2 linked regions of the Danio rerio genome follow. The protein of the gene in region 1 interacts with the protein of each later gene in a pairwise test. Links are inferred from orthologs where the notes say so. Each region holds a gene or a part of one and is shown in the gene's direction. Other genes may lie near its edges.

What was found.
Region 2: the proteins of ciao1 (region 1) and ciao2b interact in binary tests that used the Homo sapiens proteins (3 or more experiments, as listed by UniProt). The two-hybrid records come from large-scale screens. The link is inferred for Danio rerio from reciprocal best matches to the Homo sapiens genes CIAO1 and CIAO2B.

The regions. Positions count from the first base shown.
Region 1 is NC_133183.1:6,292,364-6,298,825, reverse strand, and holds part of ciao1 (probable cytosolic iron-sulfur protein assembly protein ciao1), read left to right. Parts: intron 1-1,081; coding exon 1,082-1,230; intron 1,231-3,733; coding exon 3,734-3,845; intron 3,846-4,166; coding exon 4,167-4,255; intron 4,256-4,576; coding exon 4,577-4,772; intron 4,773-6,052; coding exon 6,053-6,128; intron 6,129-6,457; coding exon 6,458-6,462. UniProt on the Homo sapiens protein: Key component of the cytosolic iron-sulfur protein assembly (CIA) complex, a multiprotein complex that mediates the incorporation of iron-sulfur cluster into extramitochondrial Fe/S proteins.
Region 2 is NC_133182.1:45,534,591-45,541,736, reverse strand, and holds the start of ciao2b (cytosolic iron-sulfur assembly component 2B), read left to right. Parts: upstream 1-2,918; 5' UTR 2,919-2,987; coding exon 2,988-3,114; intron 3,115-3,295; coding exon 3,296-3,375; intron 3,376-5,278; coding exon 5,279-5,404; intron 5,405-5,495; coding exon 5,496-5,541; intron 5,542-6,510; coding exon 6,511-6,611; 3' UTR 6,612-7,146.

The DNA.
Region 1 (6,462 bases):
TATATATATATATATATATATATATATATATATATATGTTACACATACAGTACATGCAAAAAATATTAATTAATAAATGAATAAAAGTAAAATAAACTAAAATAAGATAAAATAATAATAATAAAAAGGGCAATTTTGAAAAAAAAAGACATTAAGACAATGACAGTTCAACACACATACATTCCAATGAAAGTGAAAAAGATATTAAAGTTAGTCATAACAAACACAGTGCACATTAACACAGTCACATTGTTTGTGATTACTAAACGTTCAGGCCATTCTTACTTAAAAAATAAAGAAAGAAGTCCCAAATCTTGTAAAATATGTGCATTTTTTGTTTGACTGAGTAAGTCAGTCTTTGCATTGCTATACAAGAAGACATTTCCTCAATCCAGAGTGACAAAGATGGACCATGAATACTTCTCCAGTGAATGGCAGTCAGGCATTTCGTATGCAATAGACACAGATTTTAAAACTTCTGTTCATATGACTTCAGCGATAAGGCAGGTGGGAAAAGACCAAGAACACAGATTTAGGGCAAACAGGGATTTCTTTAACAATAGTTTTAGAGATTACATCTATTAGGTATTTCCAAAAGGATTGCAAGTGCTCGCATTGCCAAACACAATGGAATAGTGTACTCTTGTAAGTCAAACATAAAACACAAAACAATTTTGATAATATTAATTTTTATTATATTTAAAATTTGTAAAAGCTTATTGAGAGGGAAAACTTATAGATTTAAAGGAAAAGTAAATATTTCAAATGCAATTAGATAATTATTTTGGGGTCTCACTGTGTTTTTAATGTATTTGCTGTTCTGTTTTTGACAATTTTTTTACATTTTGCTCCATCATGATAACAAAATATTAATACAATTTTAAATAATATAAAATATGAACCCTTTACAGGGCACTCATTGAAATACTCATTGGAAAATCCTTGGTGTTACTGGTGGTAATTACAAGACTTTTGAAGTTTTAGGACTTTTATATAGTCTCTTTAAAACATTAATAGCATCCAGAAAAATAGAAAAAAAGCATTATTGCATTTTCAGCCTCTCGTTTGTTTTCATTCTCAGGGGACAGTTGGGAATGTAAGTGTGTCCTTTCTGATGGACACCAGCGCACAGTCAGAAAAGTAGCCTGGTCTCCCTGTGGGAAATACCTGGCTTCAGCCAGCTTTGATGCCACGACATGCATCTGGAAGAAGACGGATGAGGATTTTGAGGTGTGTGCTTGTATAAGCCTGATTTTTTTTCATTCTTTCAATTTTCTTTTTTTATTGCAGTATAACACAAGTGCAATAAGGAAAAAAATCTAATAAACATATCCACCAGAATGTACAATAATAGCACAAATTATTAAAAATAAATAAATAAATATAAATAAAAACAAAAACATTACAGCAAAAATAAACAAAAAAATCCAACAAAACTGAAAAAAAAAACTTTCATCAGTGTAAATTTTTTCAATAAACTGCAGTCTCCTTCCTGAATTAGATTTTATTTATCGTAAAGATCTACAGTATTACCAAAATTCCCTTTGGAAAACCAAAAACAATGGTTTTGTTGTAAGGCACTTGCATTGGATATAAAAATTTCTCCCAAATAAAATATTTTAAAAAAATAATGTAATATGTCATCGACCTCTAATAAATCAAAAATATCAAATATATATTATAAAAATAATAATATAACAAAAATATGAAATAGACATATTTAGAAAATTGGGAAGGCGGCTCCAGGGGTCTCATGTATCAAGGCTGCGTACACACAAAAACTTTGCGTACGGCAGGTTTTACGCTCGCGTTTGGATTTATTAACGATGAAATTAACGTGAGAATGTGCGTCGGTCCACGCCTACTTCATGCCTGGCGGACGCACATTTCTTGTGCGTGTCTGTTTTAATTCCATGGGAGACTCCTAGAGGCAGTAGTGTTAAATTGCACACCACGTCTTTGAGCCGTGTAATGGCAGCTGTATGAGAAGGGTTCATCCGCATGTCTAGCAGGTTTATAAGGTTTCCATACCATGCAGTTAACCAGCCAAACATTAAAGCGCAATTTGCAGCGGTCGCCTGTTTGCCCAATGTAATCGGAGCGATATACTGCACGCACATTGCTATAATGGTGCCATCTGAAGACGAATTTGTATACGTGAATCCGAAACATTTCCATTCAATAAATGTGCAAATAATATATGATGCACAAACTTATTAATGATTCTTACTTGTCTTCCTCGTGATGAAGAGTAGCCAAAATCAGATATGTAGCGGGGGAAAAAAAGAAGAACGTCTTCATCAGATGTGGGATTTGAACCAAGTTCATGCTTAAACGTGTCAAAACATGTTGCCATGCGTTTTACGAGCTACGCCACTCACGCAGTTAAAGAATCTACAACATTTTACACCTTTACATCATTCAGACCCAACTGTGTTAACCGCATCAGCTAAACTCTCCCACTCTAATTTTTTTCTTTTGTTATTAATTCCGGAGGACAAACTTGCAAATAACACCGTTTTTCCCCGGTCTAGCTCTGAAAGCAGCACCTCCAATTCGCATTCTGTTCAAAGTTTCTCTTCTTGCTTGCTTTTGCCATTACTTTTTTATTGGGTTTTGCCAAAGTATAGTAATAAGCATATTCATACGGGGGAGGAGGCAGGGAGGGGTTTTGCGCTCGTGCACATGCGCTCAGTTTCACGTTCATTCTGATGTACAAGGAGAATATGGGTGTGATTCGGTGTATGCAGTAAAAATTTCAGATGTATGAAACGCTGCGTCCAGTCGGTTTTAGACCATGCACCACAGCGCAAAGCGGATTTTTCCGCCCTTAAAATAGCAAAAGTGGATTCTGACACGCCCAGAATTAGGGGTGTCAAAATTAATTGTTTCTTCGGTGCACCGCGATGCAGATGCAGACAATTCGGTATCGGTTCAGTAATAATCATAACCGGTTATTATGTACTGACGTCATTTATCTCCTATGCGCTCTGTCGCGAGGGAGGTGAGCGCGAGTTTTTACAAACCTCAGCGCGGTTCAGTTGGTTTTGTTTTCGATATTCCTGACACACATTCAAGTATAGACGGCAATAACTCAAAAACCGCTTACCCTAAAAAGATCTAAAGTGTGTTTCCTACAAAAAGACAAAGCTGGTTATGTTTCACAGCTGTTTTTCTTTTTTTCGCTCAACATTACGAGCACTGCTCCGCTTAAGCCCTCGCAATATGTGTTTAGCCGGGAGAGCTCGTGCTGAGTAAGGGACCGTCGGAAAAGTGCTTCTTTTTTTTGTTTTTCTGCTCCGCTCAGCGTGAGCCCTCCCTGTTGTGAAGGCTTAAGTGTGTGTGTGTGTGTGTATGTGTGTGTGTGTTTGTTTCTTTGGTGCTGTCTATGTTTGTGTATGTGTTTGAATGACAGACAGTGTGGTGCTGTGTGTCTGTGTGTTTATACAGACAGCTTGTTATAGCCTCCCCCCTAAAATATAACACTGTATATGGAAAGCATCGTCAATGCACCGTGATGCACCGAGATATCGAATTGAACCGAATCGAAGGCATGATAATCGTAACCGAACCGTGAGACCAGTATAGGTTCACACCTCTACCCTGAATGCTTTTGCGCCCTGCGCTTTGCACTTTGCGCATGGATCATCAAAATAGAGCCCTAAAAGGCTAATTTTAGACTCTTAAAAAATCCAGAAAGTTGATCTGACATGTTTGTTATGTGTGTTTCCAGTGCCTGACGGTGTTAGAAGGTCATGAGAATGAGGTGAAATGTGTAGCTTGGGCTCCATCTGGAAGCTTACTGGCCACCTGCAGCAGAGACAAAAGCGTTTGGATTTGGGAAGGTACCTCAGAAATATGGAGAATACAGTGTCTTTCTGTAACACAAATACAAACCTTTATTAATTTTAAGTCTCACTGTGCTGATAAATGGTTCATAATGCGACTAGAAACAGTTCTTATTAAAGCTCCAGTGAAATTAAAGATTTTTTTATACATGGTAGTTTTAGTATGTTAGTTTTAAGGATATCTATAAGCTAGTGTGCTCCAAAACAGTGACAATATTTGTTTATGATGAATAAACACTGGTTTTGCCTATAATGTTTCATCTTAAAAGATTTTACCAGGATGATTTATCTGTGTTAAATGCTTCATTTTCCTTGTAGTGGATGAGGAGGACGAATACGAGTGTTTAAGTGTTGTGAATTCACACACGCAGGACGTAAAACATGTCGTCTGGCACCCGACGCAGGAGGTATAATATTCACACTCTTGATCAACATTATTCAATTCACCTTTATTTGTACAGCGCTTTTAATATGTAGATTTGGTCAAAGCAGCCTCACATAGAAGATTATAGTGAATTGAAACCGTGTAGTTTTAGTTTTCAATGTTAAAGTTCAGTTTAGCTCAGTTCAGTGTGGTTTAATTATCACTACTGAGAATCCAAACAGTGAAAAGCAAATCCATCAGTGCGCAGCTCTACAGATACCATGCAAGCTAGTGGCGACAGCAGCGAGGAAAAAAATTCACCAATTGTCAACACTGACCTGTGTTTTTTCTGATACTTTTGCAGCTTCTCGCATCAGCCAGTTACGACAACAAGATCTGTATTTATAAAGAGGAAGATGATGACTGGGAATGCAGAGCCACGCTAGAAGGACATGAATCCACTGTCTGGAGTTTGACCTTTGACCCTGAGGGACGGAGATTGGCTTCTTGTAGCGACGATCGAACCGTAAAGATCTGGAAAGAGTCGACAACTGGAGATGGTGAGGAGTTTTAGATACAGTTTTGCATAGTTAATCTTAAAGTCTCCGTGAAATCAAATCTAACCGTATTGATTTTGTTAGCTCACTTTGCTAGTTTTGTATAAATTCATTTGTGCATGTCATTAAAAAAAAAAAGTTTGCCCTTCTAATCTAAATTTAAAATCTGAAAATTCCCTTCCTGTTTGTTTTCGGTTAAATTCTTAGATTAGGCCTGTCTGAGGTTTTGGGTGTGGCTAACATACTTAACCACGCCCCTCCAGCTGTCAGTTTTGACAACAAACTGAATTGGTGAGGAGGATGAGTCTGTTGTAATAACTGTCTCCAAACCCTTTCCCCATCTTTCTTGTAATGTAATGTGTATTTATATAGCGCATTTATTGTGTATGGCCTACATCCAAAGCGCTTCACAATCATGAGGCGGGGGGGGGTCTCTCCACACCACCACCAGTGTGCAGCATTCACTTGGATGATGCGACGGCAGCCACAGGACAACAGCGCCAGTGCGCTCACTACACACCAGCTATTGGAGAAGCGGAGAGACAGTGATACAGCCAATTCAGTGGAAAGGGAAGATTGGGAGGCCATGATTGTAAGGGCAGATAGAGGGACTTTGGCCCGGACACCAGGGTTACACCCCTACTCTTTACGAGACGTGCCATGGGATTTTTAATGACCAAAGAGAGTCAGGGCCTCGGTTTAACGTCTCATCCGAAAGACGGCTCTCTGAATGAAATGCCGACTTCACTACATCCAATCAGCTCTCAGAAGAAAAACAAGCCACGCCCACTGATTTCTTATTTAATATTTCGTTTAGCCGCCTTTCCACTGCACACGACATTTGGACACGACTGTCAGAATACGCCCCCTTGTGGCAGTCGCACAGTATTTTCAGTGTTGTCATGCACCATTGGGAGAGGAGCTGTTCTGGCAGTGTCCGAAATAAAGGAGCGTGAAAGCAAGAACCTTTATTCTCTGTGCATTTACATGGTTTAATGAAGGAATGAATACTAGAAACTCAAAGACCGCTACAAATATTGGAGGGAATGTGGAGACAACATTAAAAAATTTATTTTTATTACTTTCTTACTTGCGTTTATGAACAGTTTTTTTTTTAATAGACTTTTTATGATTCAAAAAATAACCAAATAAAGTCCTGTTTCTCTTCTCGCGCGCTCTGACCAGCTTGTACAACACTGGAATACATCACATCCGGTCAGCCGGTCGCATCCGGTCAAGTCGACAATATAAATCTAAGAATTCTGCTTTTATGTTTCTGTTAGGTTCTTCGGATGAGTCCTGGAAGTGTATATGCACCTTGTCTGGATTCCATGGGAGAACAATATATGATATTGCATGGTAAGATGTGCAGTATATATAGGAGCAGAAATGGCTACAGGGTTTCTGTGGTTATCGAATTTGTATATACTGAATAATTAGCCGTCCTATATATATATTTTTTTTTCTAAATTTGTGTTTAATGGAAGGAATTAGTAAAAAAAAAAAAAAAAAAAATATATATATATATATATATATATATATATATATATATATATATATATATATATATATATATATATACACACACCGTAAATACACCTAAATTGTCAAAACAAACTTTTTATTTTGGATGTGATTAATTTTTCCCGAGCACTAATTGTTTTACTTTGTGGTTCTCCCGATTTCAGGTGTC
Region 2 (7,146 bases), on another chromosome or scaffold:
AGTCTCATCTCCCATTCCCTTTTAAGAGCCAGTTGAGTCACGCCATGGTGCATTTGCTATTTACATAACGTAAAGTAAGTGAAAGTGGAAAAACTGAGCATTTCACTAGCAACAAAACAGTTAAACAGAGCATCTTCAGAGCGCGAATGAGAGATAAGGCATCTAACAATCTACTTTCACTTTCACTCTCGTGGATAGGGAACCCTTGTACGCACAGATATCCATTGGCCTATACAAAACTAATTTCATCTGTTAAGCACAAATATTTGTTTCAAAACTATTTTTAAATTCAATTTTAATTTCCAGCAAACGAATAAATGAACAATAATAACGAAGTGTAAAACTGAGTTATATCCTAATACACATCCTGTGCCCTACATGGTCTGAAACCTGACAGGTGGGCAAATCTAAGCTTGTTTTTAATAAAACAAATATAAATGTGGATATAATAAATAATACTAATAATAACATTATACAAAAGCAAATTGTTATGAATGAACTGAAAAAGCCCCCGAGTTGAAGAACGCATGAAAGTATGGATTTTAAATTCATGTAGGCTAGAAAATAATATGTTTTGTAATATTTTAATCCTTTATATTTATATCCTATATATATCCTTATTATATCCTATATATTTCCTTATTTTTATTCTTTTTCACATGTAAAGATATTTGCGTATTGCTCTACACCTTGTGTGTATTAAGCAGTGTGTAAGCGAGGCGCAAAACTATCGCACTCTGCGCTGGACAATAGACCGGCTATGTTCTGGTCTATTGAAAAATCTATTATAGTTTCTCAAAATAGCAATGTGCCAGTAATGCGCCTCAAAACACCTTCCTTTTTAGACCAAACGCTTACAGGCGCACATATGAGCACAAATGCATTTGCTATTTAAACAGCGTGGTTGCTATTAAAACATCAAAATGAGTCTTGTGCCAAGCTGAAACCAGCAAACAACAATTGCGTTGCGCCTTGCGCCACATTGCGCCGGGTGTATGATAGGGCCCCTAGACTTCAAAGGTGAGTCCTTTGAAGTCTACACAGGCCGAGGCGAACATTGTGAAATAAGATAGTTGAGCTATATACTGATCTTGTCACCTAGCAACCTTGGCAGCTTTCGTTAATGAGTGACAGTAACATTTGTATTGACTTTTTCTCAAAGTGATTTTAAAACAAGCATTTTGATAGCAAAACAAAATTCCCAAAATGTAGAAATATTAATATATAATATAATTCCCTATTTCCTATGCATTCAACACATAAAAATGTAAAAGGTCTATGAAATGACTTCTTAGTATGATTTGTTCATTTACATATCAAAGTAAACTGAAACCTAATTCATACAGTTCATACAAATATCATTAATATCATTTATTCATTCATTTTCTTTTTGGCTTAGTCCCTTTTTTATTCTGGGGTTGCAACAGCAGAATGAACTGCCAACTTATCCAGCACATGTTTTATGCAGTGGATGCCCTTCCAGCTGCAACCCATCACTGAAAAGCACCCATTCACACTCACCCACACACATACACTACGGTCAGTTTAGCTTACCTAATTCACCTGTACCACATGTTTTTTGGACTGTGGGGGAAACCGGAGCACCTGAAAGAAACCCATGCAAATGCAGGGAACATGAAAACTCCACAAAGGAATGTCAACTGACCCAGCTGAGGCTCGAACCAGCGACCATCTTGGAGTGAGGCAAATGTGCTATCCACTGTGCCACCGCGTCACCATCATAAATATCATAATTTATACAAATAAGCTAGAATGTACATAAATTGGATGAGGCAGCAAAATACCAACCAGTAACAACAACAAGCCTCAAATTAGTTTGAATTGAGACAACTTTCAAATGCTTCCTTCATAGGATTCAGCCTCTGAAATTTAACACAGCCAATGCAAGCATTTCATGTCTGTAAAGGTGTGGTCAGACAACACTTTTTGCCCCACTGACTTTCATTCATGCACATCCAAATCTATCAGACAGCAAACTGCATGTGTTAGTGAACTCTAACTTGTGAATTTGCATCACTTGAATGTCACCTGAACCTAAAGAAGATCAAAACACAACCTTTCTGTACAGAAATTCAACACGTGTTTTATCCTGCTCCTTTTAAGTGAAACCAACAGAAAGATTCTGTGACCATGAAGCATATACAGTATATATCTATATAAATATGGCCCAGTGGTTAGCACTGTCGCCTCTGATTCTCTGATTCAATTACCGGCTCGGCCATTTAGCATTTCTGTGTGGAGTTTGCATGTTCTCCCCATGTTGGCGTGGGTTTTCTCCAGGTGCTCCGGTTTCTCCCACAGTACAAAGACATGCTCTATAGATGAATTGAATAGACTAAATTGTCCATAGTGCATGAGTGTGTATATACAGTAGATGATTCCCAGCACTCGGTTGCAGCTGAAAGCAAGGGCATCTGCTGTGTAAACCATGTGCTGGATAAGTTGGCGGTTCATTCCACTGTGGTGACCCCAGATAAGTAAAGGGACTAAGCCAAAATAATAATAATAATAAGGACCTACAGAAAAAGCACGTTTCAGTAGAATGACCCAGAATGTTGTAAAATTATGTTCTACACCAGGGGTGGCCAAACTCGGTCCTGGAGGGCTGGTGTCTTGCATAGTTTAGCTCCAACTTCCTTCAACACACCTGCTTGGAAGTTTTTTGTATACCTAGAATGAGTTATAGCTATTTCAGGTGTGTTTAATTGGGGTTGAAAATAAAATATGCAGGACATCGGCCCTCCAGGACCGAGTTTGGACACCCCTGTTCTACACAGAACCAAAAACAAAAACATCGACTTTTATTTAAAAACTTTTATTTTGAAAACCGAGTACACTTCCGGGTTTTTCGCCTGGGTTGTGGTCATTTGTGTTTGGCTTCGAAGTAGAGTTAGCGACTTGATTAGCTAGTACTGCTAAAATACTAGTAACTTACTGGTCATAAATTCATTGTCGAGGGTGTAATAATGTCTGGTGGAACTCGACTAGAGAACGCCAATCCTCTGATATTTCAGCGGTCAGGGGAAAGACTGCTCACCTCCACTGATGAAGATGAAGATGTGGCGGACCCCATCGATGTCAGAGAGATCTTCGATATCCTTTCGTAGTACACCGTACATCACTTTTAGGCTACACCACTGCTTTGACAAGTCGACCTGGTTGCTTTGAATTATCTGCCACCATAGCAGTTATTTACTTCTGCAATCTGCTTGAGTTCACAAACTCATTTAAGTGTTCCTGTATACTAGAGTCAGACCTTAACTAATTAACTTACATTTGATCAGGTCGATCAATGACCCCGAGCACCCGCTGTCTCTCGAAGAGCTCAATGTGGTGGAACAAGTGCGTGTCAATGTGAGTCTGAGTGGTTTGCACAATAGCAGAACTCCTCGAATAAATAAATATGAAAAATTTGTTCACACTTTACAATAAGGTTTCATTAGTTACTAAGGTAAAGTTGATTTTATATTCCCTCATTCGTTCAGTGACAGCTTGTGACATTCATTCATATTTCTTTTATTATTATTATTATTATTATTATTCTCTCTGTATTGTTTACCCTGGTACTTTGAATTTAATAACTGAAATCACACGTAAATATGACTTCAAAACAACTTTAGCATTATTAAAATGAAATGTTGTACTTTGATAGTCATTGGCTGCTAATATGATGTTAATATTAGGAATTAGCAAAGAATACTTAAATAAAGTCATATTATTAGGGAGAAAGTCAGAATGTGTAAATATAAAACCAACTTTACCTCAATTCATTAGTTAATATGTTTACTAACATGGACTAAGTATAAGCAACGCTTGTGCAGCATTCATTAATCATAGTAACTAAGTTCAACATTCACTAATGCATTATTGAAATTCCAAATTCATGCTTGTTATTAGTTAATGCACCGTGAGTTTATATAAACTACAGTAATAATAGACTGTATTATATGGTAGTAGTACCTTATTGTAAAGTGTTACCAAATGTTTGAACTCTTCTATGAAAGTATAATTCTTCAAGGAAAAAAGAAATTCAATGCATAATATAAATAATTCATAATAAGTTATTGTGATGCATCATTCTTTCTCTCTGTTTCGAGTCTCAGTTCAAACATTTTTCTCAGAATAGATATAAATTAACTACCCCACCAAAATAAACATTTTTGGATTGCATTTCTTAACTCGTAATGTCACCAGTTAACGCAATGCATTTTTTCAACACATCCCATAATTTCAAAAATATTAACCTCTACCAAATAGTTGACATGTTGGTTTATGGTAAAAGTACCGGAGTTGATACATATACTATAAAAATCAGAAAATATGAAATTTAAGACCAAATTTATTTAAAAGCATAATAAAAATCTAACATTTTTGAACACTAAATCATCTTTGTTTTTTGAAGTATGCCATAAAATATTTCAGATGCTTATTTAACCGCAGGGTTTCCGTTGGGTCTTAAAAAGTCTTAAAATATCTTAAATCCCAAAATCTGAATTTTAGGCCTTAATAAGTCCTGAATTTACAGAAATATTGTTTTGAAGGTCTTAAATCTTTTTTTTTTTTTTTAAAAACAAGTCCTAATTTTCATTTGTTCATGTATTGCTAACCAACCTGGCCAAAACCCATGCAATCACCTGCAATCCATATACATAAATATTTTTATGTAATGATTAAAGTATTATGATCTTTAACACTACTTATCATAATAGTTGAACTATTTCCCTTACAATAGCAATTGTTTAAAAGTGCTCCATGTATTTACTGCTAAGGATACTGGCTTGGACAGATTGTTGCGCATAGATTTAGTTTATTATCATATTTAAACTTTTAAAACATTTGTCTTTTTTTTTTTTTTACGTATTCAATGATATATACATACATACATACATACATACATACATACATACATACATACATACATACATAAATTAAATTAGACTCAAAAAAGGCTAAGAGCTAAGGAATAAAAAAAAATATATATATATATACACACACATACATACATACATACATACATTTATATATATATATATATATATATATATATATATATATATATATATATATATATATATATATATATATATATATATATATATATATTATATTTTTTTTATTCCTTAGCTCTTAGCCTTTTTTGAGTCTAAAATTGTAAAAAAAAACTAAAAAAAAACAATACAAATGGTGAAGTAAAGTCTCATTTGCAAACAAGCGTTGATGCCTTTCTATCTTTTATAATATGTTTCCGGCTGAACAGGTGAATGATGAGGAGAGCACAGTGTCTGTTGAGTTCACACCGACCATCCCACACTGCAGTATGGCCACACTCATTGGCCTGTCAATCAAAGTCAAGCTGCTGCGCTCCCTGCCTGACAGATTTAAGGTACAGTGTATTTACTGAGCAACCAAACACGTTGGAACTTCTTACTGTAGGCTCTGGGCCACACATAAATCTTTTGTCTTTGTGTTGTTAGATTGACGTTCACATCACGCCTGGCACACATGCTTCTGAGGATGCAGGTAAACTGTTATGATAGAATAGTAGTTAATAAAGAAAAAAAAGTGTGTGTGTGTGTGTGTGTGTGTGTGTGTGTGTGTGTGTGTGTGTGTGTGTGTGTGTGTGTGTGTGTGTGTGTGTGTATGTATAGCATTTTCATGTAACTTTTGACTTTTGTCTTTTGTATTATGTAATTGGCTCTCTATATAATATGATTTAACACTTGAAAAACATTTTATTTTGAGACAAAAAAATGCAAATGTATGCAATTTGTTGGATTTTTTTTGTTCTGTGAGGATGAATTTCTTTTAGCTTGTAATATATCTATAAGAGTATTATAACTGTGTACTGCACTGTTTCTATTAAATTTATATATCAGTTCTCTCCTAAGAATATACTAGATTAAGATGCTGTTTTAAGGCTTAGATCTATAATTAAAGCTTTATATTTTCTTTTGTGGTGGACAATAAAACATTAAAGCACACCACAATGAGAAATGTACAAAAAAAACTTCGGCCAAATCATGATATATTTTATATATTTTTACATGATTTTAGGAAAATAATGCATGTATAATTCAGCAATCTTAAATTGCTTCAGGACAGGTACTGTTCATGTGGATGTATAATTACCACCATTAAAATGTATTAATAACTGGGTTATTATGGCCAACTAAGCTATTTTGTTCATTTTAGTTGCTAAATATAAACATAGAAATTTCAAAGCTAATATAAAGAAAAATCATAAATGAAAATAGTAACAATAGTATTGTAACAACAAATTTCTCAGCAAAACAACATCGTTTAAAAACGGCATTTTAATAATTAAAATAATAATTATTATTATTATTTACAATAATTTACTTTCTGAATATAAATTGTATGTTATATATATATATATATATATATATATATATATATATATATATATATATATATATATATAAAATTTTAGATATATATGTTTATGTATATATTCCCTTTCTACTGCAGTCAACAAGCAGCTGGCAGACAAAGAGCGAGTGGCAGCGGCTCTGGAGAACTCTCAGCTGCTGGAGGTAGTCAACCAGTGTCTGTCCAGCAGGGGAGTGTGATCAGCTCATTCCTGCTTCATTAACAGGTCATGACTGAACTCTTGAAGGCTAATAACAGTGCCATTAATAGTGCTGTTAATTTGCTTCTTTAGAATGATTGATGCATTCAATAAACAAAATCCGATCAGAACAACTCGTATTTAAAAGGAGAGAGTGGGGGATCTATCCATACTCTGTTTAAAAAAGAGAAGAAATTATCCTAATATAAAGTCAATATGGAAACAGAATCAGTTTTATTCGCTTAAGAGTATGTGGATACAAAAAAGGTGATGCAATTTTGTGATACATCCGTGTAAATGTACAAAATGACTAATATTAGTCTGATTTGAACAAACAGATTTTAGAAAGTTTTCAAAGGAATGTATGTTAATGAAAGTGGAGAATGTGTAAAACTGAAATCATTTGCACTGCCTTGTTTATTATTAGCTTTACAGTTTTGCCAATAGAAGTATTATATGGAATATGTTTTTTGAGCGAAATGTCTGGAATGCAATGAAGCCTTTTTAACTTTAATACCTTTTTTAGTGGCCATACG